Arabidopsis thaliana: one gene and its partner. Changing the gene in region 2 together with the main gene of any one other region gives a genetic interaction. Each region holds a gene or a part of one and is shown on either strand. Other genes may lie near its edges.

What was found.
Region 1: of AT2G32280 (region 2) and OPS, changing one enhances a phenotype caused by changing the other (phenotypic enhancement), as found in Arabidopsis thaliana (one study listed by BioGRID).

Annotation. Positions count from the first base shown.
Region 1 is NC_003074.8:2,761,925-2,778,008, reverse strand, and holds OPS (LOW protein: UPF0503-like protein, putative (DUF740)), read left to right. Parts: upstream 1-6,633; 5' UTR 6,634-7,071; coding exon 7,072-9,129; 3' UTR 9,130-9,368; downstream 9,369-16,084. Other genes in the region: AT3G09080 (Transducin/WD40 repeat-like superfamily protein), read left to right, coding at 13-342, 487-662, 770-953, 1,041-1,244, 1,451-1,750; AT3G09060 (Pentatricopeptide repeat (PPR) superfamily protein), read left to right, coding at 9,579-11,642; AT3G09055 (uncharacterized protein), read left to right, coding at 12,830-12,940; AT3G09050 (8-amino-7-oxononanoate synthase), read right to left, coding at 12,102-12,530, 12,802-13,149; AT3G09040 (Pentatricopeptide repeat (PPR) superfamily protein), read left to right, coding at 13,653-16,084. UniProt on the Arabidopsis thaliana protein: Potentiates primary root protophloem differentiation. Required, together with VCC, for embryo provasculature development and cotyledon vascular complexity and connectivity. Regulates roots architecture.
Region 2 is NC_003071.7:13,705,184-13,720,365, forward strand, and holds AT2G32280 (GPI inositol-deacylase C, putative (DUF1218)), read left to right. Parts: upstream 1-7,782; 5' UTR 7,783-8,026; coding exon 8,027-8,125; intron 8,126-8,322; coding exon 8,323-8,528; intron 8,529-8,607; coding exon 8,608-8,794; 3' UTR 8,795-8,822; exon of another isoform or gene 8,823-9,316; intron 9,317-9,332; exon of another isoform or gene 9,333-9,459; coding exon of another isoform or gene 9,460-9,663; 3' UTR 9,664-9,756; coding exon of another isoform or gene 9,757-9,990; 3' UTR 9,991-10,025; downstream 10,026-15,182. Other genes in the region: ZIP3 (zinc transporter 3 precursor), read left to right, coding at 672-821, 1,124-1,429; AT2G32275 (uncharacterized protein), read left to right, coding at 4,506-4,784; BAM6 (beta-amylase 6), read right to left, coding at 9,460-9,663, 9,757-9,990, 10,072-10,281, 10,375-10,641, 10,739-10,903, 10,985-11,458, 11,544-11,723; AT2G32295 (EXS (ERD1/XPR1/SYG1) family protein), read left to right, coding at 14,344-14,425, 14,528-14,610, 14,731-14,769, 14,879-14,971, 15,051-15,167. UniProt on the Arabidopsis thaliana protein: Required, together with OPS, for embryo provasculature development and cotyledon vascular complexity and connectivity.

The DNA of each region.
Region 1 (16,084 bases), on a different chromosome or scaffold from region 2:
GTTTATTGTCAGGTTGCAAGTGACGGCTGTATTTTTGTCTGGAAACTTCCTTTGCGAATGGCTACTCGTATTATACGGGCAGTAAATGAAAATGGCAGGTTAACTGTGGCCCAACTGGAAAAGTTCAAGCAAATTGCGGTTGATTTGGAGGAAGACAATCCAAATGATGCATCATGTTCTGCAAACTATAAGCCAGTAGAGGAGAACGCAGATCAGATGCAGCAACGCTCCCCATGGACATCCTCATTTAAGTTCAGCGTTTCTCGGCTTCCTAAATGGGCTCAAGCTAAAGTGGAAACATCTGATATTGCTACCAATTGTCAAGATTCCATTTCAAACCAGGTACAACCCCAAAAAAGTTGCCTGCTTTCTGATTTTAGGAATCAGGATAGAGTGTATCTTTATGAAATGCTTTGTGAGACCCAAAATTTCAGCTAAGGCTTTTAGTTCTTCTGATATTGGGCATCTTTATTGCCTCCACAACAGAAACATGAAGATAAAAGTATGGCAAATACTATTGACAATGCTGAAGAATGCTCTTCTGTGAATCTTGAATACCAAACTCCCAAGCAAGGTTCAAGAACCGAAAATGCATGCCTTGGAAGCCTGTCCAAAAGCTCCAACGATACTGAAACTTCAGGGCTTCAAGGAGATGATCCTAGGTAAGAAGCTCTAGCTTGTTTCTGGTCATTACTGCAATTCTTCTCTCTATCTCTCTGCCTGCTTTTATGAGAACCACATTGATTGTTTTTATTTTGCTTCTCAACAGCAATAGGAAAGAAAAAACCCGTTGGAACACTATCTACAACGTGTGTTTGGATCTTCTAAATACTCCAAACATCCAAGCATCTTTCATTAAACAACAGAAACCTGAAAATTTCTGCACCAAACATTCTGCCGGGCAGGGGGACATGTTCAAACAGTTTGATAACAGTTTGTCAATAATAGACAATGTAAGATCTCTCTTCCCTATTTGCTTCGACATGTTTTAGGTTGCCAATAGAAATCTTGATGGCCAAATATGTTTACTTTAACCATAGGTCGAGGCCGAAAAATCATCGCAGCAAAGAAGATATTCGTCTCAGTTTGTCCTAAGAAGAGACTACATTGGCGGAACTAAACAATTTACGCGTACACCCTCCCAAAAATCAGGGTACAAGACTTTGAGGTCGATCCAAGAACATATCCCTCTTGATACGGTGAATGATCAATCTTCACATAGTTCAGAAGAACATCCTGAGCAGGTTTCACCACGTCATATTTTGTATATATCTACTCACTTATACATTACACAGCACAGATTTATTATACAGACACACTTACATATTACTAGGCTTAAAATCACTCATAGATGCATAAAATCTCCAGAAATGGTGCTAAGTGCCAACATTATGTTCGTATATATGTAACTAAATAAACAGGTTTCATCATTGGTTTTGCTATGTCACAGGACAAGACGTCTTCAGAAGTATTCCACGATACACTTGCAGACGAGTCACTTCAAGAAAGGATAACTTCTTGCCGTCAAGCGTTACACGGTTTAAACACTGCTGCTGCGGTTTTCGTCCAGTCAATATCGGAATTATCTACAGCTTCTCCTCGGGATCAAATCTCAGGTGAACTTAGAGCTCAGTTGTTTGATGAAGCAGCTTTAATGATTCCAGATGTGTCTCATAAAGTTAGCGAAATTGTTGCCAAGATAATGCTTGAGCACAAAAATAGAACTAGTGATAGAATGTTGTCCAATTAGTTCAAGTAGAAAGATTATACAAATAAACTCTGTACAGTTATCAGTTACTTCACCTTACAAATTCAATAATAATGAATTGTTTTGTTGCTCTTCCTGATTTGTCTTACATTGACTGGTTTGTGTTTATATTTTTATTGCACCAACCATTTTTTTCTGATAAAGTTACTTATAGGGAACTCTTAAAGTAATTTCTTTATAGTATTATTAAACTTGTTTGATCTTGTAATTTTCAAGATCGAATCTGTCATCTACAAAAAAAAACGGATCCACCAAAGTAGTGTTAAAGATATGTCCGTAGTGTTTCAACTATGCCTTTTCGTATGTCTCTTCCTTTGAGAACTAACTAGTAACTACTACTAGCTGCTGATTTTCATGGCAAGAATAGACTTTTTTTTTGGGTTAGGTAATAGACTTTTTTTTTTTTTTTTGGACTTGTTTTGTGATAGTTATTTATCTACAAGTTACATAAAATATACGATAATGGTGTGCAAAAGAAAACATATATACGATGATATTCTTTTCTTTTTGTTCAAAATATATGCTTGTGATCCACTCTCAAAAGGAAACATAAGCAAATATTCATGTGTATAAAGTTAGTTAATGGTTTTAAAAAATGATCAAGTAGTAAAATCGTTTGAATCTAAAGTCATTTTTTACTAAATATGCAAATCGGTAACTCTACATTTATGCCAAGTAAAAACTAATCATCTAAGAAATCTCTACTATTTCACAAAAGAAAATTAGTAATAAAGCAAATCCTAGAAATTTGTCCTGTTTTGAGTGCTTTTTTGTCTTGCTTTAGTAACATGCTAAAAAAAAAACAGCTCCCTCCTTTATTGGGATTCCTCATTCTTATAAAATTTTAAATTCTAACAACAAATCTCAAAGTAGATGTTTAGCTTCCTCCTCTTCTTATGTCTCTTTTTCATCTCTTCCATCTGTCATTAGTTCACCTAATCTCATACAAAGTTGTCTTACAATATTTACATTACCATATAATTATAAATAAATAAAATTCATATGAAATAGCATTGTGTAACATATTTGTTTTAATCCTGACCGTACCATATGATACACTCTATTAATATATCACATGTTTAATACAATGGCACAACCATTTATACGGATGTGTACATAACAAAGATATACATGGACACTTATTAGTTAGAGTATCTGAGTAAGAAAGGAACTAAAGAGACTTTCATAAATGTGAATAGAATGAGATACAGAAGCATGTTGGGTCCAAAATAGAGGCTTTTTATGTAAAATAATAAATCTTTTCCGATTTTAAAAATAAGAAAAAGAAAGAGAAAAATTATTAGTTGGGTTGTTTTTTCTTCTTGATAAATTGGGAAAAACGAAAAGCCTTTGATTTCTATGAGTTGTCGAATGTTGTGGGCCAAAAAGGTTCATATTTGATTGTCCTTTTCCAACTCATAATTTCTCTTGTAATGATTATACCTCTCTCTTTTTTTCTTTACCTTTAATCCAATGTGTTTCATAAATCAAATAAAACACTATAATACAAATTATAGACTAATGGAATAATATCAAAATATTTGTTATACTTTGTTAAAATACTTTTATAATTTGTTATACTTTTGTTTAACACTTTGGAAACCTTTTACCATACTAATAATATTATTAGCACCAAAATGTTCTTTCATGTTTTCCTTCATTTTATTGATACCACATAATGGAGGAAATTTACAATCATGATCTTTTAAAATTCATGATTAAATTACACAGTCCAAAGATAATATATTATAATATATAGCGGTGAAATAATTATTATGTTTTTTTAAAAAAGATTGCAGTATTATTACTAACCGGTTTACTGTCCAATGTTCATAAAACCGGCTTTAACTTATTATGCGTTGCAATTAAATTGGCTTTGTTAGAAATTTGACTCCGTTAAACAGAATTACAAGCATTTATGTTCTCTATTGTTTATATCTCTAAATTCAGTATTTTACTAAAATATAGTAGAGAATAATTTTTTTGGCAATAAAAATAAAAAACGTTAAAGTGAAAGTGAATTACTAATAAATCACCATTATTATTAATAAAGACACCTATATTAATGGCATTGATTGCGTGAGGTTTAAGGTGGGATACGAGGCAACAATGACAATGAGCGTCAGTCCGTCACGCACACACGACCAAAAAATTATTTAAACGCAAAAAAAGAAGAAGAAGATATACTTACAATTTGACCACTAAAAAAAAAACGACATGCTTACGAATTAACTACGAAAGTTACCTTTAATACAAAAAGACATAGAAATACACACATACTGTACAATAAATAGATAATGAACCAATGATGAATTATACTTACGTGGGAACGAGTTAGTTTACTTGGGAGATTCTTACCCACACGTCCGATAATATATATATACACACGAATACACATCCTTTCTATATATCAATCTGCTCAAGATTACTTAAAAAAAAAAAAAAAAAAAAAAGGAAGAAGTGAAGAATGTAATCGAATAATTAAAAGGGTATATGCACTAGATGACCATAAAATCCATAATATTATATAAACTAACCATAGGCGTATAGTACTTGTCGGAAACCAACTTTAAATTACTCTAATATTTCTATAATAGGATTTTGGTTGAGGGGGACAAATAGCTTTATAGGCAAATAGTTTTACCACTAAAGCTTTCATAACCTCCTCTTCCCTTACAACAATAACCACCACTAGATCCGTAACACCACCGCCTCCTCCGTATTTAGTATTATTAGATCTGTAAACACTACCGCCTCCGTATTCACCACCATATCCATAACACCACCGCCTCTTCCGTATTCATCACCACCGCCGTTTACTTTTGTTGACATGTATTTTTATTCTAAAACATTGTATTTTTCAAAGTTTCTTTTAAATAATACTTGTTCTTTACTAAAATTACAATGATCCGTATGTCTCAATTCAAACGATAGCATGTAATTTTTGAATACTTCATGCTATTTTTCTATTTTTCTATTTGATATGTATATTTTCCTAAAACGTTTATATTTTTTGATAAGATAATATTTTTTTAAAGATAATGTGCATTTTACAAATAATCTATGTTTTTTTACTAAAATCACAAGTAAGTTAGTGATTCATGATTTATGTTTTTTTTTATAATCACATGCAAATTTGTACAATCACATGTAATCTATAAATAACACATATGTGGTTTGCTTATCTCTGTTGAAACCCATTTACCATATTGTCAAAACAATAAACCTACATTTTAATGTAATAAAAATAAATAGCATGTCCTTAAATATCTTATGCAATATTTCTATACTCAATCACAACTGTTTCTAAATGGCTATCTTTTAACTAAGTTTTCTTTTACGTATACATTTTTAAGGTATAAGAGATATTGCGTGTGATTTTAATAAGTAGTGGTCTAATATTGCATGATTTTTTAAGAAGTAGCGGTGTAATCATTATTTCGTATTATCTTTTGTTTCCTACATGTAGCAGCTATTGTCGGAAAGAAAGAGTTTATCTCATTTATAAAGGGTAAAATAGTTATTTCGAAGGATAAAAAAATGTTATTTACCCAACTTTTCTGCACGAAGGCTATTTTATTAATAATGCTGTCAAATTTGGTCATCCTCTAATATTACCTTAATTAAAATACGATAGTAAATTATATCTTACGATGGTTACTAGAATGTTAGTACAGTATGTTGTAGTTTATACGAAAGAACAAAATGATTCACCAAACGAGCGGCGTTTAGGTGAAGGACAATATTTGTTTCCCATGCTAGAGACATTCGGAGACCCGTACGTACTATAGTTCCTAAATCATATTAATAGCAAATATATATATTTGAATATCTAAATTGAATATTATTCTGTGGGGAAAACAGAAAGAAAAGAAAAGCCAAGACAAATTTGATCAGATAAAGGAATAAAACTAAAGTTAAAGTTATATAGAATGCATATCACAACAAAAAAAGAAAGCATACAAATAATACAGTCTTTGATAACGAAAACTTGATCAATGTTTTCTCGTGTTTTTTCTTGACTATAACCTCTCTTCTTCTTGCAAACAGTATAACTTTAAAAATGAATTTTGAAAGTACTTGATTTTTGTTATGAATTATTCGTCTTAATTTTAAACCTCTGTTTTTCGTCTTAATGTTAGAATATCGAGAAGATTAGTTTGGAGAAATGTATGAATATATAACACAGAAAAACAAAAGAGAGAAAAAGAAAAAGGAAAGAAGAGAGAAAGCGAAAGGAGAGAGTGTCATAGAGACAAGAAATTAGGAGTGTGATGGCGTGATTTGCTTTTCCTTTTTTTTTTGGGTCCGAATCTTTTTAATTCCAAAGTATCTCTTTTTAAAATTTCTTTAAATTAAAAACAAATACTAGTAAATTCTTAGTTGTTACTGTGGTTAAAGCGGGTAAATTCCATAGTTGACGCCTGTTGCTATGATTGATGCGATAATTGACATGATTATTACGGTAGCACTGTAAGAAATGCACAAGATGCAGCACTATCAAAATACTACTAGTATTAACTAATCAATTAATATCGTTGAAATAATTTGTTTGTAACTTTAAACGGACTTTATTAGATCAACAAAATCATCATGTACTAAATAACACACGCACCCCATACTTATCGTTGAATCACGATAGAGTTATTGTTTTAGATTAAAATGAAGCATGTGTTGTTGCTTTTTGAAAATTTTGTCAAAAGTAGTGTGAAAATTTTGATTTTTTAGTTAAAATTGCTTTTGACAAAGCAGGGAAAAAAATCCACTTTGCCACCGACCCAACAAGTAACGGGTTTATATTAGCATTACATGAGACAAAAATCGACAGAACATAAGGTCAATTTAGACATATCATATTTCTCCAATTAATTTGCATGTTAACAAAAAAAAAATGTAACTGACAAAGAAAATAAAAAGCAAAATATTGAAGTGGACAAAGGTTTAATATGTTTTATGTTAGATATAGTACATAAAAATAAGATTTGGCTTATATCATATGAATAAATCTGAACAAAATTTCTAGATAACCGTACATTAACACGCTAAAACCATATCCTAAAACTTTTGTTTATTTGAAAACACTAATTTGGTTTTTCTATAATAATTCTTTTGTTTTGTTTTTTTCTTGTTCATCTCCTTTCTCTTTCAATTACCGTTGGAACAAGACGAAGTTTCAGAGACAACACTACCCAATCTCTCTCTCTAACCTTAAGTGTTGTCTTTCTCTCTATAAGCCAGAGACCAGACAGTGATGACGATATAGTATATGAGACCAGAGGGAGGATTAACCACCATTTCCCGTCATGAATCCAGCTACTGACCCAGTCTCCGCCGCCGCAGCTGCTCTTGCTCCGCCTCCACAACCTCCGCAGCCTCACCGTCTCTCTACCTCTTGCAACCGTCACCCAGAAGAGCGGTTCACCGGTTTTTGCCCTTCTTGTCTCTGTGAACGTCTCTCAGTCTTAGATCAGACCAACAATGGCGGTTCCTCTTCTTCCTCTAAAAAGCCTCCGACCATCTCTGCTGCGGCTCTCAAGGCTCTCTTTAAGCCTTCCGGAAACAACGGAGTGGGCGGTGTAAATACAAACGGAAACGGCCGGGTTAAACCCGGATTCTTCCCGGAGCTCCGTCGTACGAAATCTTTCTCAGCATCCAAGAACAACGAAGGATTCTCCGGCGTGTTTGAGCCACAACGTAGGTCTTGTGACGTCAGGCTTCGAAGCTCTCTTTGGAACTTGTTTAGCCAAGATGAGCAACGAAACCTTCCAAGCAATGTCACCGGCGGTGAGATTGATGTCGAGCCGAGGAAATCAAGCGTTGCGGAGCCTGTTCTAGAGGTAAACGATGAAGGAGAAGCTGAAAGTGACGACGAAGAACTTGAAGAGGAGGAGGAGGAAGACTACGTTGAAGCTGGCGACTTTGAGATTCTCAATGATTCCGGCGAACTAATGAGGGAAAAAAGCGACGAGATTGTTGAAGTTAGAGAGGAGATTGAAGAAGCGGTGAAACCAACAAAGGGTTTAAGCGAAGAGGAGTTAAAGCCAATAAAGGATTACATAGATCTTGATTCTCAAACCAAGAAGCCATCGGTACGACGGAGTTTTTGGTCGGCGGCCTCTGTTTTCAGCAAGAAGCTTCAGAAATGGAGGCAGAATCAAAAGATGAAGAAGCGGCGTAACGGCGGCGACCATCGGCCAGGATCAGCTAGATTACCGGTGGAGAAACCGATTGGGAGACAGCTCCGGGATACTCAATCGGAGATTGCTGATTACGGATATGGTCGGAGGTCGTGCGATACCGACCCTCGATTCTCTCTAGACGCCGGAAGATTCTCTCTTGACGCCGGTAGATTCTCCGTTGACATCGGTAGGATCTCGCTTGATGATCCTCGTTATTCGTTTGACGAGCCGAGAGCTTCTTGGGACGGGTCTTTGATTGGACGGACAATGTTTCCTCCCGCCGCGAGAGCTCCTCCGCCGCCGTCAATGCTCTCGGTGGTGGAGGATGCGCCGCCGCCGGTGCACCGTCACGTAACCCGAGCGGATATGCAGTTTCCGGTGGAAGAACCGGCGCCACCACCACCGGTGGTTAACCAAACCAACGGTGTGTCAGACCCGGTTATCATACCCGGCGGATCAATCCAAACCCGAGACTACTATACTGACTCATCGTCAAGGAGGCGGAAAAGTCTCGACAGGTCTAGTAGCTCCATGAGGAAAACGGCTGCAGCCGTTGTGGCGGATATGGACGAGCCAAAGCTTTCAGTGTCGTCGGCTATATCAATTGACGCTTACTCAGGATCACTGAGAGATAACAACAACTACGCCGTGGAGACGGCAGATAACGGATCTTTCCGGGAACCGGCGATGATGATCGGCGATAGGAAAGTGAATAGTAACGATAATAACAAGAAGTCGAGACGGTGGGGGAAGTGGAGCATTTTAGGACTTATTTACAGGAAGAGTGTTAACAAGTATGAGGAAGAGGAGGAGGAGGAAGAGGATAGGTATAGGAGATTAAACGGTGGAATGGTGGAGAGATCGTTATCGGAGTCATGGCCGGAGCTGAGGAATGGAGGAGGAGGAGGAGGAGGGCCGAGGATGGTGAGGAGTAATAGCAATGTGAGCTGGAGGAGTTCCGGAGGTGGATCAGCGAGGAAAGTCAACGGATTGGATAGGAGGAATAAGAGTTCAAGGTACTCACCTAAGAATGGGGAAAACGGAATGTTGAAGTTTTACTTGCCACATATGAAAGCTAGTCGGAGAATGAGCGGTACAGGAGGAGCAGGAGGTGGCGGCGGCGGAGGGTGGGCGAATAGTCACGGGCATTCTATAGCGAGGAGTGTAATGAGGCTGTATTGATCAACAAAATTGTTCATTGGATGGTTTAATTAGCTCTATGAAGCTGAACCTTTGTTTTTAGTATTTCGTTGGTTTAGGTTTAATTTCGGTTCAATTGGTTTACTTTGTAATGTTAAGGAGGGGATGCATTCTCAAACGAATCACTTGTTGTCGTTGTCTATTTTAACCGGAATAAACCGCCATTCGACCAGCTATATTTTTGGTTCCAGGCTTCCCAATCAACACCTAAATTTTTTCCAATGATTAACCAAATTTTGATTAGTTAATTTTCATTGGAACAAATAAATTGAATAGTCTGATAATTTTGTTAGTTAACCTAAATTAAAATTTTAAAATCGAAAGAGATTGTTGACTAACTATAATCAACAAAGAGTTTATTACTTCACTTCTAATTAAAGGCAAAAAGCCCAAAACATGCCGGAGAAATAACGTTCACCAAAAACTCTCACATGGTCGTGTTCCCAAAGTCGCTGTCACCCAAACACGTCCTTAAGCTCTTGAAATCGGAGAAGAACCCGCGTGCGGCTTTTGCTCTATTCGATTCGGCGACTCGCCATCCAGGCTATGCACACTCCGCCGTCGTTTACCACCATATCCTCCGACGTCTCTCGGAGACGCGGATGGTTAATCATGTAAGTCGAATCGTCGAGCTTATTAGGTCACAAGAATGTAAATGCGACGAAGATGTCGCTTTATCGGTTATCAAAACCTACGGAAAGAACTCCATGCCTGATCAAGCTCTAGATGTTTTCAAACGAATGCGAGAGATTTTCGGGTGCGAGCCTGCGATTCGATCTTATAACACTCTACTTAATGCGTTCGTGGAGGCGAAACAATGGGTTAAAGTCGAGTCCTTGTTCGCCTACTTCGAGACTGCTGGAGTGGCGCCAAATCTGCAGACGTATAATGTTTTGATTAAAATGTCTTGTAAGAAGAAGGAGTTCGAGAAAGCGAGAGGGTTTCTAGATTGGATGTGGAAAGAGGGGTTTAAGCCTGATGTGTTTAGTTACAGCACTGTGATCAACGATCTTGCTAAAGCTGGGAAATTGGATGATGCACTGGAACTGTTCGATGAAATGTCTGAAAGAGGAGTGGCACCTGATGTCACGTGTTATAATATCTTAATTGATGGGTTTCTTAAGGAAAAAGATCACAAGACGGCTATGGAACTGTGGGACAGACTGTTGGAGGACTCTTCTGTTTATCCGAATGTTAAGACTCACAACATCATGATTAGTGGTTTGAGCAAATGCGGAAGAGTAGATGATTGTTTAAAGATATGGGAGAGAATGAAACAAAATGAGCGTGAAAAAGATTTATATACATATAGCAGTTTGATACATGGGCTGTGCGATGCAGGTAATGTTGATAAGGCTGAAAGTGTGTTTAATGAGTTGGACGAAAGGAAAGCCTCGATTGATGTGGTTACATACAATACTATGCTTGGTGGGTTTTGCCGTTGTGGGAAAATTAAGGAGAGTTTGGAGTTGTGGAGAATCATGGAGCACAAGAATTCAGTTAACATAGTGAGTTATAACATTTTGATTAAAGGGTTGTTGGAGAATGGGAAGATCGATGAAGCAACAATGATTTGGAGGCTTATGCCTGCCAAGGGCTATGCAGCTGACAAAACTACTTACGGTATTTTTATTCACGGGTTATGTGTGAATGGTTATGTGAATAAAGCCTTGGGGGTGATGCAAGAGGTGGAGAGCAGTGGTGGGCATCTGGATGTTTATGCATATGCGTCAATTATAGACTGTTTGTGCAAAAAGAAAAGATTAGAAGAAGCGTCAAATTTGGTAAAAGAGATGAGTAAGCATGGCGTGGAGCTAAATTCTCATGTCTGTAATGCATTAATAGGTGGTTTAATCCGAGACTCAAGACTTGGTGAGGCTTCCTTTTTTCTGAGAGAGATGGGGAAGAACGGTTGTCGCCCGACTGTTGTATCCTACAACATTCTTATTTGCGGTTTGTGTAAAGCAGGGAAATTTGGTGAAGCATCTGCTTTTGTGAAAGAAATGCTTGAAAACGGATGGAAACCAGATCTGAAAACTTATAGTATACTCTTATGTGGTCTTTGCCGCGACAGGAAGATCGATTTGGCCCTTGAATTGTGGCACCAATTTCTTCAATCGGGACTCGAAACCGATGTGATGATGCATAACATACTAATTCATGGTCTGTGCTCTGTTGGGAAACTTGATGATGCAATGACTGTCATGGCAAATATGGAGCATCGGAATTGCACTGCAAATCTTGTAACCTACAACACCTTGATGGAAGGATTCTTCAAAGTTGGAGATAGCAACAGAGCCACAGTGATTTGGGGTTACATGTACAAGATGGGGTTGCAACCTGATATTATATCCTACAATACTATAATGAAAGGGTTGTGTATGTGCCGCGGAGTGTCGTATGCTATGGAATTCTTTGATGATGCTAGAAACCATGGCATTTTTCCAACTGTTTACACCTGGAACATACTTGTTCGAGCTGTCGTGAATCGCTAATGTGATGAATATTAAAGGAAACCTTAATCTGTTGCATATTGCTGTATAACTCTCTAGGGTTCAGTTTGACCCTGGATGATCTCTGGGCCAGCTCAGCTAGCTTTGCGTGATAAGGTACAATGCTCTGACCCTGAATCTTTGTTTTGGAGGTTGAATTGTATGTCTCGGTGCTTGGAAGTGACAGGAGGTAAACTGCAGTAAGTCGATAAGAATCAAGTTAGCTATATCATCTGATGAACTAGTATTATACATACATACATACATCAAAAGCATTTGGGTGATACACATTAGTTTGAATGATTCGAGTAAACATCATCGAGATCTGATATTTGATGATGCAAAAGAAAAGCTGTAGCTTGACGCATCAAACCTAAAGTGATAAGTTTCACACTTTGGGTCTATGCCATCAAGTTATATTCATCTCTTTCGATTAATACAGAGTTTGTCGGCTTCTATCGTTCATTCCTTCTTGTTTTCCTTTCCCTTATCTGCTTCTGATAATAATGTCTGCTCGTATACGAATTGAGTGAGCAGTGGGACAAGGATAGCTCCAAGAATTGCGACTTTTCTCCAATCCGGTGAAGAAACGAAGGAATCAGCAATTGCGAGAACCACAATCCCAATTAACCCGAGGTAAATATTCCTTCTTGACTTTGATCCTGCACTTTCTTTGGTAACCTCTTGTATTTTCTCAGTTTCCTCTCTAGCTTGCTCTCTATCCACTGGTTTTTTGTCACGTAAGCTTTTAAAGAACAATCCTTCATTCCTGTCTACTTGAATCTTCTCCTCAAACTCAGCCAACTTATTATCGTTCTCCTCGATCTCTAATCTGTTCAATCCCGCAGATTCCTCAAAAGCTTGCATCTTGCTTTCGATATTCTCCAGTATCTGCTCAATCACCCGGAAAGAAAAACAATATCAGCTTATCTATCGTTCTGTTCCTGCAATATCATCGAGCAAATCACAATATCTGAAAGCTTCTGAGTTCACTTGATCTAGAGAGTAAAGACAATTCATAAGGATCAAACTGCATCAGAGAATTAAGGTAAGCCATTGAAACAAGACATTCTACTGTTCTAAAACTGTATTGTGCACAGGTTAAGACTATTTCCATATGATACGAGATTTCAAAATGTTATCGTTTTCAACTGATACATACCCTTGTGCTAGCTTCGTCAAGGTCTTTCATGGCGTCTTCTCCAACCTTGTCAAACTCCGCATTGGCTTCTTCAGCAAACTTGGTGAGATACTCTGATCTCTCGTCCAAGAAATCCGTCAAACGGACCTTCGATGTCTGAATCATGGCGATCCTAGCTAAGAGTTCTTGCCTGCGAGTATCGCCTTCGGGTTTTGGAGGGTCGGGATCAGAATCAGAATCTGAAGTTCCGTCTCCCGATTTGGAGAGACAGAGAAATTGGGGTCGGGAAAGAGAATGTCTCGAGGCATTGAAAAGAACATGAAAGTTTGGTGTTAAGGTTGTCTGAAATGCATGAAGTGTGTTCATCATCTTCTATGTTTTCTTCAACGAAGAAGAAGAAGGCTCGTTTCAGAGTAACCCACCTCTCGTTTTTTAATTTAGTTTACGCATTATCCAAAACCAGTTTTGAGTTTTAAAGTATTTGCATAAAAGACCCTATATTTGAGACATTATTATAGATTGGCTCTAATATTTCTTAATTACATTAAAGTCATACTTCCACACATAAATTTCTTTATAAATTGGCCATATTCAAAGTTTTGAGCTTATAGGTTTGCTATATTTAAATTCACACTTACACAGAATAATTTCTTCATCGAACCTCTAATTATGTGTTGTAAATGACCAGAGAACCTCTAATTCACACTACATACGAGTCCTAATCCGAGTCAACAACCGGCGGGTTTACGGGTCAACCCGAAAAGGTTGATTCTTCTCATTTTTTTCCGCTAAAAAGTATAATTTTTTTGAAACAGCTTTTCGAATTTCTTTACTCACGACGACCCTGTTCGTTTGGATGCTTTTTGTTTCTCATGGTTTATAGAGGAATTGAGACCTCTGTTCTAGCTCCGGCAAGGTTCCTTTTTTGTCGGACTGCAGTCTCAATCATGTATTTCCGAGTTCTCTTGACGCCGTCCTCGGCCATGTTTGATTCTTTCTCCTTTGTACGTCGTTTGAGTTATTCCCCGGATTTGGGTCGTCGAATCTATGGACATGTTTTGCCCAGCCATGATCAGATACATCAACGTCTCCTAGAAATCTGTTTGGGGCAATGCAAATTATTCAAGAGTCGCAAAGTGTTCGACGAAATGCCTCAAAGACTTGCACTAGCCTTGAGAATTGGCAAAGCTGTCCATTCCAAAAGCTTGATACTTGGAATAGATTCAGAAGGTAGATTAGGTAACGCCATTGTGGATTTATATGCCAAGTGTGCACAAGTTTCTTATGCTGAGAAGCAATTCGACTTCCTTGAAAAAGATGTAACGGCGTGGAACTCAATGCTATCGATGTATTCCAGCATTGGGAAACCAGGAAAGGTCTTAAGGAGTTTTGTATCATTGTTTGAGAATCAGATTTTTCCAAATAAATTCACTTTTTCGATTGTTTTATCAACCTGTGCCAGGGAGACTAATGTAGAGTTTGGTAGACAAATTCATTGCAGTATGATTAAAATGGGGCTAGAACGCAACTCGTATTGTGGAGGGGCTTTAGTTGATATGTATGCCAAGTGTGACCGTATTAGTGATGCTCGACGAGTTTTTGAATGGATAGTGGATCCTAATACAGTTTGCTGGACGTGTTTGTTTTCTGGCTATGTGAAGGCTGGTTTGCCAGAGGAAGCTGTCTTAGTATTTGAAAGGATGCGGGATGAAGGCCATCGGCCTGATCATTTAGCTTTTGTGACTGTTATAAATACGTACATCAGGTTGGGGAAGCTAAAGGATGCACGTCTGTTGTTTGGGGAGATGTCAAGCCCAGATGTGGTAGCGTGGAATGTAATGATTTCAGGGCATGGGAAAAGAGGATGTGAGACTGTGGCTATTGAATATTTTTTCAATATGCGGAAATCTAGTGTTAAATCCACCCGTTCTACCTTAGGAAGCGTTTTGAGTGCTATTGGGATTGTAGCTAATCTTGATTTAGGTTTGGTAGTTCATGCAGAGGCTATTAAACTAGGTCTCGCTTCCAATATTTATGTCGGCAGTTCTTTGGTTAGCATGTACTCGAAATGTGAGAAAATGGAGGCTGCTGCAAAGGTATTTGAAGCTTTGGAGGAAAAAAATGACGTCTTCTGGAACGCGATGATAAGGGGTTATGCACATAATGGTGAATCCCACAAGGTTATGGAACTGTTTATGGATATGAAATCTTCTGGTTATAACATTGATGACTTTACCTTTACAAGCCTTTTAAGCACTTGTGCTGCATCACATGATCTAGAAATGGGAAGCCAGTTTCACTCAATCATCATCAAGAAGAAGTTAGCAAAAAACTTATTCGTAGGAAATGCATTAGTAGATATGTATGCAAAATGCGGAGCTCTTGAAGATGCAAGGCAAATTTTTGAGCGCATGTGTGATCGTGATAATGTAACTTGGAACACAATAATTGGGAGTTATGTCCAAGATGAGAATGAGAGTGAAGCTTTTGACTTGTTCAAGAGGATGAATTTGTGTGGTATAGTGTCTGATGGAGCATGTTTGGCTAGCACACTTAAGGCATGTACACATGTTCATGGTCTTTATCAAGGAAAACAAGTTCACTGCCTCTCTGTCAAATGTGGCCTAGACAGAGATCTTCATACTGGTAGCTCGCTCATTGACATGTATTCCAAGTGTGGAATCATCAAAGATGCACGTAAAGTTTTCTCTTCTCTGCCTGAGTGGAGCGTTGTGTCAATGAATGCTCTAATTGCAGGTTATTCTCAGAACAACTTAGAAGAAGCTGTAGTTCTCTTTCAAGAAATGCTGACCAGAGGTGTTAACCCATCTGAAATCACTTTTGCCACCATTGTTGAAGCTTGTCATAAACCAGAAAGTTTAACTCTAGGAACGCAATTTCATGGTCAGATAACAAAGAGGGGCTTCTCATCTGAAGGTGAATATCTAGGGATTTCCCTTTTGGGCATGTACATGAATTCACGTGGAATGACAGAGGCTTGTGCACTCTTCTCAGAGTTATCAAGCCCTAAGAGTATTGTTCTTTGGACGGGAATGATGTCAGGTCACAGTCAGAATGGATTTTATGAGGAGGCCTTGAAGTTTTACAAAGAAATGCGTCATGATGGTGTTCTACCTGACCAGGCAACATTTGTCACTGTTCTTCGAGTGTGTTCTGTCCTTTCCTCTTTAAGAGAAGGTAGAGCTATCCATTCTCTTATTTTTCACTTGGCCCATGACTTGGACGAGTTGACCTCTAACACCCTAATAGACATGTATGCTAAATGTGGGGACATGAAAGGTTC
Region 2 (15,182 bases):
AGGATTTTTGATAAAAATAAAAGAGGCAAAATATTTTGTTGTTTATTTATTGAAAAAAACATAACAAATGCATAATCACGTAATGACGTTGCAGAACGAAAATTTGCAGAATAAATTTTTTTAAAATAAAATGTTGCATGCACAACATTTCTTTAATTTGTGAATGAATATGTTATTTCTATTTAATTCTATTTTTAACGTTAAAATAAAAATGCGAAAAATGAAAAATCAGATCCATACACAAATTAAATAAATTTTATGTGCATGCATATGTAGTTTTTGACTTTAATTATATTATATTTTCTCTAGAGAAAGAAAAACCCTACTACAAATTCATGCATTTGCCAGATTTTATTTTCTTGTCGACGCGGTGAATTAGATTCGGACATGTGAATGTGAGATTTGATTCTTTAGAAACCGTCACATGTTATTTATAAGTACCGAAATTCCAAATTAAAACTTTTCATATGATTAGCTTTTAACAAATCATATTTTAAATATAAGATTAAAAAAGACTAAGTCCATTATTTGGAATGCAATCGAACACATGGCGTAATTTTCTTTTGTCCGAAATCTAATATAAAAAAAAAGAACAAAAAGTGTAATGTAACATTTGAAATTACCTCATGACTGATATTCTTGTGTTTATATATTATAAACTCTAAAAATAGGTATTGGAGTTGGGAATAATAGTACACTCAGTGGTAATAGGAATATCACTAGGAGCTTCACAGAGCCCAGATGCTGCAAAAGCTCTGTTTATTGCCTTAATGTTTCATCAATGCTTCGAAGGTCTAGGCCTTGGTGGTTGTATTGCTCAGGTATATTTCCTCTTCTCTATATTCATTATTTACTCCTTTAATGAAAGCTCTATTTCCGATATAATTAAACTCAGTATTGCATAGTTTTCAACTTTAACTGGTTCCTAAATTGATTCCTTTTGAAAGAAAAAAAAATCGTTGATGGTATAGGTATGTAAAATAACTTGTCAAATAGCAAGCAAAATCTATAAAAAATGTACATTTTGTATTATTAAAAAAACCCACATTAAAAACTGATGACATCGATAATAATAAATTGAAATGTTGGTCTACAAAATACTGAAAATATTTTTTTGTTGCAGGGAAAATTCAAGTGTTTGTCAGTAACAATCATGTCGACGTTCTTCGCAATAACGACACCGATAGGAATCGTTGTGGGAATGGGAATAGCAAATTCTTACGATGAGTCTTCACCAACGGCTCTGATCGTTCAAGGAGTTTTGAACGCTGCATCCGCAGGCATTCTCATCTACATGTCTTTGGTTGACCTTCTCGCAGCAGATTTCACGCACCCTAAAATGCAATCCAATACTGGGCTTCAAATTATGGCCCATATTGCTCTCCTTCTTGGTGCTGGCCTCATGTCTCTATTGGCTAAATGGGCTTGATAGCTCTTTAATTCAACTCTTCTAGTTTTTGCTCATGGCCTTTTATGGCCACCTTGAATTCGAATTATTTGTTCTTATTTTCCCCCTTTTCAATGATATTTTTGAGATCTCTATTTTCTGAAACACTTCATGTACTCATGTTTAACATTATTACAATTGTGTATATTGATCAGTGTCCAAGGAAAGTAACGAGCCTTGATTTGTTGCTTGCTTGCGTGATTTGTGATAATCTATTATGTATGTATTTTGTGTTATATATTATCTTTATCTTAGAAAAAGATTACACATAAAAAAATTATTGTTTAGGGCAAATAAATTCATTTTTCTATATTAAGAAGTTAATATCGCTTTGCTAAGCAGATAATATCATACTAACACGAAGAGTTATATTGGGCTTATATATTATAAAACTATTTTCTAATTTTCCAATGTGGATCACATGTATATTGTACAAGAAGTCATTAAACTCATACATCTTTTCATTGTTTTCATTATTTTAAAATTTACTGTGTATATATAATTGGATCTTTACTGGCTTCGACAAAGACAACATCCCCAAGTACACAAAATCTCATACTCCTCTGAGCATTCATATCTAGTTGTTCATTGACGTTAATTTATAAAGGAATCTTATTTATAAACATATGGCAATATGGCATCAATTTTCATTAATGTTATGTTTTTGAAACACGACTTTTGTAAGTTGTCCAACTTTAAAAGTAATAACTAAAAACATACAAGAGTTTAACTTATTAATAATAGATAAACCGTATCAGTGTGTAGAAAGTAAAATTTCGTTTGAAAAAGATCCAACAGATTCATTAACACAAACAGTTTTGAAAGGCTCATTTAACATAACTTAATAAAAAAAGCATTAAATAAACCTAAAATAAAACTATACCAGAAAGTAAATAAATGTGCAGAAACTGTTAAATGGATCCTCATAACTTGTTTTTGTTTCAGTTATAAAAACTTCAGTATATAATAAACCCTAAATCCTTCTGTCGCTGAACCCAAAATTCAAGTAAACTATTTAGATTTTTGTTCTAATCATTTTTCTCAAGTTTGAAATGATTTTCTCTATATTTAGTCATTGTTATCGTTCCAATGCTGTGGATCGAGAGGAATCATCGACGATTGATCAGCGATTGCTGGCTCCTCAGTCAGGACGACGCACGAGTGAGGATTCCACACGTTGGCAACCGTCTTTATATCCCATCTCGGAGGACGTCGGGGAGAGTGATCGCTCAACGGCCAAGGTCTCAGTCGTACGTGGGAAATCAAAGACCAAAAAGTTGGTTTTATTCAGCTACAAAATCAAGAGAGCCTGGTTAGTCCTCACGTATATATTAGATGGTTTCCGTCTATCTTTTTATTATTTTCATAAATTTCATATTAGCTGGTTAGAAAAAATAATACATATGTTAGATGTCTTTCTATTAAAATTATAGACATTGTCTTTGCTGGATTTACTAAATATATTTTGTTGAATTTGTCTAACAGGAACATTGCAATGTCAACGAATTTAAGAGCCTCGCCGGGGTTGTCTCCTTGTCCGGTTATGTGTCGAACTGTATAATTTTCTTCCCTTATATATGCATTGCGAAAGAAAATTGCATATGATGTAAATTATTATTTTTCTAAATTTTCTTTCAAATCGTAAAAAAAGGAATTGGATATGCGATTATCCATTTTCATGTTGTTGAGCGTGTTTGAAGTTAAAAAGTTTAGTGACAGCAAAGTGCAAACTAAACAATAATTCTTGAAGTGGGTTTTACATAAACCATGAGTACTTGTTGGTTTATCTGTTTTAGATTCGACACAACAATATCTTGGTATCCTCTATGCGTGTTCAAAAAATATACCCTAAAAACAAATCGGTACGGAAAAGACCGTTGCTTTTTGTGTCTTCTATATTTCGAAACCTTCTTTTTTGTAATCTTATTACAGATGAGTCGATGACAAAACAAAACCATCAAAAACAGTAGCGGCTCATACTAATTTTTTAGTGGATTTAAAAAAGTACTTTTAACATTAAAACAATATTTAAATTTTGGTCCTCAAATTTAGTTAAAATATTTTTTTGGCCATACGCATTTGCTCCACTTACACTACTGAAGAACCGCCCCTGATCAAAATATATCAACATATTATTCGAACAAATTCACTACCTTCATGTTTAACCATTTCCATCAATAAGGGGAAAACATAAAGGAAATAGTGACGTGTTTTGACCACTTTTGAATATATTTTTCGTTATTTGGCAAAGTGAAAAAGAACTTTTTATAGCGTGGCAAAGTATACGAACCGAAAATTGTCGTCCTTAATGAAAAACAATGTTCTCCATATATACAATATATATATACTATAGTAATTTATCATGGTTATATATGTTCGAATTCAACATATACGTGCATCATATGTCACAATATTAGAAGATTAGATTTTTTTTTTTTTTTTTTAATTGATACATGTACGTACGAAAATAGATAATGTAGGTGGGAGATACATATCGCTATATCTATTTTATTTAATTTGGTTAGTTTTAATCTCTTATCTTTATATATTTATTTATTTTTGAATAAAATTTTGGTTAACATATACTAAGTTCCCTCCACCACATAAGTACAACCTGTATCATGCATATATAATAAAGAAAATACTACATTCCAAATTAAAACTTCCAATTTAAAATTTTGATATCAACAAATTCCCATTCACGAATCTTGACTCACATGTTCTCTATTGTTTCCCTGTTATTCTCATAACCTTTTTTACAATTACAGCTATTATTAATTGTAAAATTAATCATTTTTTGACATTTTAAGTTAATTACAAAATACAATATTAATGTGATATTAAATTTTAAATAGGTAATATTATTATTAGATTTACTACTATAAAAGATATAATTTTTTACAACTAACACCCGATATATGACCCCACAAAAAAAGAGAGTAATTACCTTTTATATATATTAAAGTGTGTATATATACACACACAAAAAAAGGAAAAGAAAAACCCAAATCTCTACACTGTCGAACTAATAATCACATTTTAAGTAGTCGAGTTTCAAATGATTTTTTCTCTATTCCGTCGATGTTGCCGTTCCACCTCCGCTGTGATTGACGAGCCATCGCTAGGCCATGACTCAAGTGTCTCAGGTGACTCAGTTCGCTCAGATGTCTCAGTTGACTCAGGTGTCTCAACTGACTCAGGTGACTCAGCAGCGCCTACACGGTGGAGTCCGTCTTTACCTCCGATATTGGAAGGTGACGAAACCGAGAGTGACCACCAAAACTCGAGAGTCTCACATGCTTGGTGGTTAAACAAATTACTGAAGAGATTCCGATGATTTCATGGTAGCAAAATGCTTTTTCTCTATCTTGAACTATTATTGAAATCTATTTCATTCTTTTGTCATATATACTTTGTTCATCATAATAGTATATTAATGATTTGTGTTTTGGTTGTTAGGTCGGAATCTTTAAGTGACAGATAGAGAGTATCGCCAGGATTCACTCTTGGTCCTCTTTACATATTGAAGTCTCTAGTTTTCTTCTCTTTAACAAAGCAAATTAGAATGGTGTTGTAATCGTATCGAGGACAGTGTTACAGCGACAAAACCATTTGTAATAAATTTAGATCTCTTTAAGATGTCTTTCTTTCTTCCAAAAAACAACATTGTGATTTTAGTCTTTGTTCTTGACCTAGTTCATGATATAAAAATCATCATCCCTTTTATCTGACCTTCACTCATGTTTAATCAACTTGAATCTTATGAGACCTACTACAATCACACAACTCTCCTCTTCTTAGAGCTTGCTGCAACAATGACTTCATCGAAGCTGATATAGAGTACCTACCGTACCTAAAGTGTTTCATTAAGTTGATCAAACTTGTGAGGCAATGAGATTTTGAGAGGATAGCTTGAACCTCTTTGGATATAGCTACACCAAGATTGCTAAGATGTTCTACCAATTTCAGAATAAATCATCAATGTTCACATCAATTATACAACTTTGATTTTTCCATCTCAAACGTATATATAGAATTTGAGTTGCATATAGATACGATCTTTACCTATACAATCTTGTTAAAGTAGACCACATCGAGGTTGCAATTAATGTTCTCCCGCAATATGTAATCACAAACAATAAAGATTATCAAGTTTTAAGTCTTCCTATATCACAAACTAACCTTTAAGGAGTCTTAAGTCAATTTATGTGTTTCACCAGATTCTACCTTTGTTTAGACATGGATTGTGTCTTTAGCATCCATTCATTCATCCATAGTTACAAATCACCTTTCCATCAAAATGATCCACTCCCATCCATAGTAGTATCCACCACCATTAAAATTGTAACATGGGGCTATGAATATGATAGCATTCTTCGATTCTTGCATCAATCTGGAACCTAAATCGAAGCATAAACTACACCAAATACAATCGTAAACAACCAGAACAAAGATCTAACAACTCATGCTCAAGAACATATATAGATTAATGATGGAGAAGATAGATAAGAGAAGTAGATGAACACAAGAAGTTATTAGTTAAGATCAATCGGTGTGATATTGATCCTACATCTCGGCGAGAGCGGGATTGAACAATTCATAAACTTAACTTCACAAGATCATGGAGAGCTCCATAAATCCGGAGGTTCACGAATCATGGCCAAAAAATCTATCGTACAAGATAACAACATGAACACGGCTCATAAAAAACCTTATCTCTATTAATCAGTAAAACCCTAATTTTCAGCCAATTCCGGTTCAGTTAGTCTTCGGTTTAACATTTTTTCTTCGGTTTAATATTTAAACAAAAAAAATACAAATTCGGTTTAATGTCACACAACCATTACTAAACCGCGTGATTCGAAGCACAACTTAACAATTAGAAATTAGAATATTCATTTTTTTCAAAAACAAATTTGGATTATTGCATTATTGTTTGGATAAAACCACGATGATGTTCACATGACAAAATGATGTTTAGTGAACGAGACGCCAACCGCTTTATATGAACTGTTTTAGTTCGGAGATTTTGCGAGTTCCGACTATGGGTTAGAACTAAAATTTTCCCATATTGTCAAATGATGTTGTTATAAATAATATATTCTCTACATAATTACTGTGGAATTAAGGAACATAAATTTGATTCTTTAACAGAGAAGTGAAGATATTGGCCATGCTTGGTTGGGTTGTATTATGCCCTACTTTTCTTCCCCCCCAACACAAAGAATCCAACCATGTTTAACCAAACCAAATAAATATATAAAAAGCAACTATAAATTATTCACTTGAAGAAATGTTAATTAACAAATCGATAATTTTTATTTAAAGCGAATTCGCCATTCCATGACCATATGGACAAAAAGAAGCTTTATTGGGCCAAAGTACCCACATGCATATCCCACAGCTAATCTTTTTTATTTTTGACATATCCCAGCTAATCATATTCCATGTTTCTTCTATCCTTTTTTTTTAAAAAATTGATTATATTCCCATGATAATCATTTCAATTGTTTTACCTAATCCTATATTTGTTCGGAGTTTCTACTAGAATTTCTATCTACATCAACATCAAATTGTAATAGCTTTATGTCTTTGCTAAAGCACATTACCTATGTAGCAAACAATCGTATTAAATATAAACGAAAATATAGCTTTATGTCTTTTCACTAAAATCAACAATACTAATCCAAATCGGAGATTTGCTTTCGGTAAACATTTTTGTTCGACTTTTTATCTAGAATATTATAAAGTAAGAAATTTTGTGAATAAGTTACTAAAATGAATTCATTACAAAAGTAGATAAAGTATAAACTATCATGATAATTTAGAAGTAAAAGGATTATTTTTTTGTGAATAGTAATTTTAGATAAATAAATTATATATCTACTAAAGAGTAAATAAAAATATCAATACAATTATTTAATTTTTAAGGGCAATACAATTATTTATCATTTTGATTCATAATTAAAAAAAATTGTCGACAAACAAAAAAGCTTCATAATTTTAAATTTAGCATATATTAAGAGATATTTCATAAGAGACACTAATGTCTTTCTAATTTTCATGTTAACTTGGATGTTTTAAATATCAATCAAAAAGGTTATAATTGAGCCTCACCAAAAAAAAAAAGGGGTTATAATTGATCTGATTCGATCAATTATCCAGTGTAATTATATATTGCAATCTAGTTAATGATATAACGTTATAGGTCTCATTTCCTACATTCAACTAAAAGGTAAGCTAAAAAATCTAAAAGATACAAATATCCAACAGGAGAAATATCTTTTTCTCTCATTGTCTATATTTGTTGTTCTTCTATCTCTTTCTCTCTCTTTTTCTTCCACACCCTCACAACTTTACTTACGACTTTATTATATATATACCACCAACCCATTTTGTCATAAAAGATCATTACTCGTTAAGACTTTCCACTACCCATTCTCATTCTCTCTTCAACTAATATTCTTCCCCGGCCCTCATAAAGAAGCTTCTCCTGTTCTTTATTCACATTTTCCAAAATTGTATCTTCTTAAAGTATCTCCAACAAAACTAAATCCTACTAAGTTAAGAGATTTGAAAATGACAAAGATAGGAGGTATTCTTGTTTGTCTAGTCATTGTGGGCTTAGATGTAGCTGCTGCAATCCTCGGAATCCAAGCTGAAGTCGCCCAAAATCAGGTAAAATAAATGTTCTCTTTCAAATTAATAAATGTTGTTTCCCTAATTTATGATGCTAAAATTGGTAATGATGGTTGCATAACATACATACTGTCTCAAACTTAGAAATTTTCTCAAAAAAAAAAAAAAAAACATTAGGAACCTGAATTAATAGATTTTTTTTTAACAAATGAAACCATCGATTTCCTCTATTGTAGGTGAAGCACATGAGGCTTTGGTTATTTGAGTGCAGAGAGCCGAGCCAGGACGCGTTCAGGCTCGGTCTAGGTGCAGCCGCGATATTGGTAATGGCTCATGTCCTACTTAACTTGGTCGGAGGCTGTCTTTGTATTTGCTCTCAAGACGAGTTTCAAAGATCTTCTTCCACTAGACAAATCTCCATGGCTTGTCTTGTCCTCACTTGGTACGTTAATACAAAATCTTCTTGGCATTAATAATTGTTGGTCCAAGTAAAATGACATGATTGGCTGGTGTAATCACAGGATCGTATTCGCTGTTGGATTTGGGAGTATAGTGATTGGGACGATGTCGAACAGTAAGTCAAGATCCTCTTGTGGATTCACACATCACCATTTTCTCTCCATTGGAGGGATTTTGTGTTTTCTTCATGCCCTCTTCTGTGTTGCTTATTACGTTTCTGCCACTGCGGCCAAAGATGAAGCTAAGTGACAAAGTGTCACGGTTAATGATGGAACAGGTAGGTCCTTGTTCTTGACTATATTTATGTATAATCATATAACCTAGTTTCAATTTATTTCTTCTTATGAATCGTTTCACTTATTTCGAAGTCACTTTTGTAATTTTGAAAGCTGTGTCATTTTGAAAAATATGGAAAAGCTTTTATGTCACGCTCTGTTGTCGCATGTGGGGTTAAAATGCACTAGTGATAATGACATTCGGTGGAATCTTGTCTTTGCTTCGGGTCTTTAAATTAATTCAATTGTCTCTCGTTCTCTCTTTTTCACACACACACCTATGTGAATCCTTGTCACGGGAAACTTGAAATCTGTAGAACTGATTTCTAGGAAAATAGAATAATTTTTATAGAAGAGAGTATCAAATGGCACTATGAAGTAGAGAATTGCACAAACATTTTTTACTACCAGAAGAAGATCTGGTCTGAAATCCGACCAAAAAGGAGTTTGTATGAAAACTGATTTTTCTGTTGTTTAACTTCAAAATGTCTACAGTTGTCATATCCTGTAATCAGAAAACTAATGGTTCAAATTTATATCATTAGGATGAATTATTTACTTTTATATATTTATCTCAAATCTTTACATATTTACTTCAGAAATCTTATACGTTTATAGAATTTCCCCTTAGCATATTCTCTAGGACTTCTTTCTCAAAAATGTGCTTCGCAATAGAGACAGTACACTCTCAAAGGGTCTAATACTCATGTCTGTCTCGTCCAGCCATGGAAATGGATCAAATGGTTCTGTTTCTTCCATAAACATCTCCAAGGATTCATCGTTTCTCGATCTTTCCAACGGAAGCAGCTCGTGATTATACCTTTCAGGCTCTGAACAATACTCCTGAATCATGAAAAGCACACACAACTTCAGAAAAATGTTAAATGATCTTGGAGCAAATACACATCTCGAAGAGGGCTCTTTTTGATTGCTTACTTGGTTCGCATGCATTCGTTTCAAGAACATTTTAAACGTTGAGAAATTTGGTTCATTGAGAAGTTTATCAGACAGTCTGAGATATGTGAACCCAAACATCCTCGGTTTACCATCTTGGTTAACTCCATTAGGCCTTGCGTTTAGTATGATCTGGTTATATCCATTTCTATCGAATCTTGGAAGCGCGTTTTCGCCCGCAACTTCAATCCCTTCTCTCCATCCAGAGCTCAAAACCTTCAAATTTTAACCATTACCAAAATCAATTCAAGTAACGAATATACAAAAGTGTGGTATTTACAGATTCAACTTGCTTACTTGTTGAACAAGTTCTTGAGGTCCACTCTTAGCTTTTGCTGGTTGCTCTGTGTTTTTCATCTCTAGACAAGTGAAATTCAAGATAGCGTGATGTCTACGCATTATTTTCGCAATCGCACGATAACCATCTCTGTTTTTGAGATTGTAATAACCCGCCGTAAGTTCTGCAGCATGACTTTCAGTTTTGTACCACCAATGGATTCCAGAGACCTAAAAATTTGAGAAAACAAATTAAGAAAACTATAAATCTTAATCATGTTTAGAATTCATCCCAAAGGAAAATCCTACAAATATTTGATTTACTTTTGCTGCTATCTTGAGTTTACACCCGAGAAATACTTTATTAGCTTCATCAAGAATCTGATCACCATGGAGAAGTAACTTTTTGGAGTACCATGACAAGAAGAAATTTCCTTCTTCCTTAAGGTAAGTCCCATTCGAGTACTCGAAAAACTCTGTTTCTCCTGGAACACTGTTGTATTCGCCTGCGTTTTCCGGAAGTTTCCACTCTGGATGCCCGATTCTTCTAACTTCTTCTTCATAGTCTGATCTTAGATACTTGTCATAACACTGGGATTGAAAAAGTCATACAAAATAAACTTAAAAAGCTCTGTTTTTTGTTTTTTCAAAGCCTAAGAAATTAAGAGTCTTATTTCCTTTTTCTTACTTGAAATTCCCCAATTCCTGGAAAAACCCATCCTTGAGTCTCACTGTAAGAAGGATATCTAAGCTCTCCAGCAGGACCAAGCCCTACTTCAATGTCTATTATAACTCCAGAGCTTATGAAATCTTCCATGTTCTCTCTAAAGCTCTTCATGTAGTCTCTATACATCTAGAAACAGAGCAACGATTATATCAATATATAAACGCAATTTTTTCCGAGTTACGTTCTAAGATCAAGAGTTTTTCATACCTCAACAGCTGTTCGTCCTCTGAAGAGAGACAAGTTATCTACAGAGAGAGACAAACACTCTTTGTTTCTATTACCACTCTTGTTCGTATAGAAGATATCCGGATTCGAATCCCCGATTTCGAGTACCCATTTCGGTATCGGGATGTTGACATCGTCTCCTATGTTGCCTCCACATCTATGAAACGACATTATAGCTTGTAACTTTAGTCCAAAGCTTTGTACGATCGCAAACAAGTTTCTATAAGCACTCCATTGATATTGCTTTGGACCTTTTGATTCAACGATTCCCCACCATACGTCAACCATCACTCCATCTACTTGACTTTGTTTCAGTTTCTTGAGCTGTTTCTTGAGACTCTCTTCGTTTTCAAGAACGTTATCGTTCGTGATGACTCCAAGCTGAAGCATGACGTAGACAGGAACATAGTTGGTCAACATTTTGTCTTCATACGTCGTCGTATTGAACTCTGTCGCCTGTGTTTTCAAGATTAATGATTCAAAAACACAAAACCAGAGAGTTAACAGAAAAAAAAGCTCAAAGATTGTTGTTACTACTAACCTTTGGTTCTGTTGCAGAAGAAGCAGTGGCTTGATGCGTTCTTAGAGATCCCTCCTTGATTGATAATCTCCATTGGACTCGTTTTTTAGTTTCTTTATCTTGTACAAAAATTGAAGATCCTTTGTGGAGATTTCTTCCGTTGATCAGATTAGGGTTCATCATTCCTAATACGCTTGTCATGGTACCTTGCACTTGACGGAACTACAAAAATCATTTACTGGAATCATTATGATCATACACACACAAAAATAATTTTTTCAGTGAAATTAATTAAATTTGCTAATTTTCTGGCGCGTTCGTATGCTATCAACAAAACGTGGCCATAATTTTCTTGCCCAATTTTTTTTTTTTTTTTTTTGTATTTTTGTTTAGTCACGTTTTTATTCCTTGTTTTGTAGTTTCACGGAAAATAGAAGAATGAATTATCATATAACCAATAAATATCTATGTGATACTAGGATAGTGGGGTATGCAACATTCGATCAGTGTCCATGAAGGTTCTCCAGTTACTAATGAAAAATGTATGCTCCTGAGACAACTCATCGTGCCTTGATAAATAATCAATTCCATGGACAGTGGTCGATATAAGATCCTCTGATTTCTAAGAAAGACCAGACCTCTGATTACATATCACCGACAACTTCTGCTTCTTTCCATTTAAGATATCTTATGATTTCTAAGAAAGACCAGACCTCTGATAGGACTGAATCTTTCAAATACAAAGTCATACGGAATTTTCATGTGACTAGTGGCGGCTACATGAGACGACTTCTCATCCGGATTATGAGGCTGAGGTGAGGAGAAGAAAAATACTTCATCGTTGTTTTTGCAGGCAAACAAGAGCTGTGGGCGAGCCAAAGATCTGGTCAAGAACATCACGGTAAAATAGGGATGGCCAAGTATGGAAGCCCATAGCTTTGATAACATCTCGCTATAAATTTTTTTTTTTTTTGAAAATAATATTAAATTATATTTAAAGAAAAACATAGCGTTTGTACAACTAGTGCATCGAATAGTAGAAAATTTTAGCAGAAAATTAGAAACTTTTACACTTAGATCCTTGTTTCAAACCAAACTTGTAATCCGTTATCATAGCGTTTATCGCCTAGAAGTCGGATTGTGGAAAACGGTTTCGGATTTGTTTGTTAATCCACTCGATGATCCAAGAAACTGTGTGTGGAGCTTTCCCATGTCGTCGCCTATTTCTCCACCATTAAGTGAGGTCCTTGGTCGCATATTGCATAGGCATGCAAGACGATCCTCCAATGATAAATCCTAGGGCTTTGCGGCTTCGGCTCTGCTCTTCCACGATTTCAACTTATTTTTAGAAAAAGTTGATCTCAAGTAGAGAAACCGAATGACGTGAAGGGCTGAGAGGAAGCCCATGTAGGACAAAATCAGTCTCGTTTATGTTCGGTCGGGCTTTTTCACCAATCTGGTTGACCACTATCGAGTCATTGGTACCGTAACAACAAAGAAGTAATACGTCTGCACAATATGCATTATCTAATCCGTCGACCAAAACAAAATGGTGTTGGCATTGACTTTTTTTTCTTAACGTCATGGTGTTTGCATTAACTTATCTTTTTTTTCCCTTCACGTAGAAATTTTCAAATGGTACTTCACTTAAGAATTTTAGTTTTTTTTTTTAAACATGTCTTTCTTTTTAGAAAAATCAACTCGGCCTAACCCCGACGCACAAGAAGTTTATTATCAAAACTACGAACAACTCGATAAATCTAGACAATAAAATATTCATCATGAACCTATTAGGAAAAACCGAATTCAAACTATTTTTCTTTTGTACCTTTCTTACTTTATATGTGAAATATTTTAGCTTTTTATCAAATTAACAAACGTAAACAAATTAAGTGAAAATGATTATAATAAATTAATAATGTTCTACTATTGTCAAATACGAAATCTTATGTAATTGTCTTCCATTTTTGGATGATTTTTCAACTTTACATGAACAAAATCTAGTACTATATTAAGATTTAAGAGATTTGCTTTGATAAGACAAAAGAATTGTTAAAGTCAATTAACTTGCATAAGCCGTTGACCAAAACAAAAACATTTGTTTTCTTAACCAAAAAAAAAAAAAAAAAACTCTTTCGATTTGTTTATCCCTCTGTCTCGCTTTCATTGATTATTGTCTTTGCTATTAATCTAATCATCACAACGTTTCTCTTTTCATCTAAAATCGTTTCTCTCCATTAAGACTTTTATTGATTGTTCCTTTTCTGGGTTTTGCCTTCCAAGTCTTCCTTAATTCTTCTTACAACGTAAATACTCATCTCGTGAATTGTTCATAGGAGGAAACTCAATGCAATGTACACTTTGACGTTTAGGGAAAAAATTGAAGACGTTTTTTTTTTTTGTTAATGCGAGTTTTTCGCTAAAATACAAAAGAGGGTTTTAATTGAATCTTTCTCAGCCGCTTCAATAAAGCCATCGACTTTTTTTTTTGTGATTCAGATTGAATCTTTTGATGGGTTTACTTTATTTTTATTTTCTTTGGTATCAATTGGGTTTAACATCATCTCGATGCGATTGTTCATGTTGAGCAGTGTTGACGCCTTCTTCAGAGTAGCAGCAAGCTATTGGTGAAGAAAGTTTCCTGTTTTGGAAGGTACTCATTTGTCTTTCTTCGTTGTAAAGTCTTTCACTTTCGTGGTTGGTTATTAGACACTAGTTTTAGTTGAATTTCGTAAGAGTTAGGTTTTAAGCTATGTCAGTTGTTTTGCGATTGGTTTCAGAACAAAACTAGAGACAGAGAAAGTTTTTGTCTTTGGCATCTATGTTTGGGGGTGTCTTGTCTATGCCTGTCAATAATCCTCACTTGCGCAAATCTGGAAGTAGACACATCGTCACTAATCTCGGTTAGTTTTTGTTTTTATAATAAATCTTGGCTACTAGAAAAATCAGTTTCTGCTTAGTGATTTTGATTACATTTTTTCTGGATGGTTTGTGGTGTTGGACAGGAGATAATGACTTGAAGACTGCAAGTATGCTTCTGAGTACTTATGCGAAATTGCAAACTCCTATATTCCTTCGAAGTCTCAAGGTTTTGTTCATTTACTCAAAGTTCTTAGATTCTCGCTGATTGTTCCATACTATCAAATTTTTCTTCCTGCTTTATATCATCTAACTAGCTGATTTGAGATTCGCTATCTTGATTCTCCAGGTTGCTCTGTATATTGGTGGTCTTTATGTTTGTGGAAAGGTTAAAATTTGAACTCTTATTCTTGCAAACAATGATCTTAGATTTTGATTTGAAGCCATTGTTTGAGTTTTCAGTCTTGGTAATATACAACAATGTTTAAAATTTGCAGGTTGGATTGGAATCTGTAATGAAAATGGGCGTAGAGACAAGAGAACTGTTCTTTTATGAGACATTTCTGTATTATAACCCTCTCCTTCTCATTGTAAGTTACTTTTCTGCTCTCAAATTAGTAAAGTCAAATTGCTTCAAGTGTGTTTCCTCATGTATGCTATTTTGTTCAGACGCTGATGGTCTGGCTCTGGGGTGTTAATTTGTGGGTTTTTTCTCGGTCTGGAGTAGATTATGCAGCAATCTTTTATCTAGGATCAGATCATCTTAGTCACAGAGAGATATGGAAGGTAAACAACTCTTAG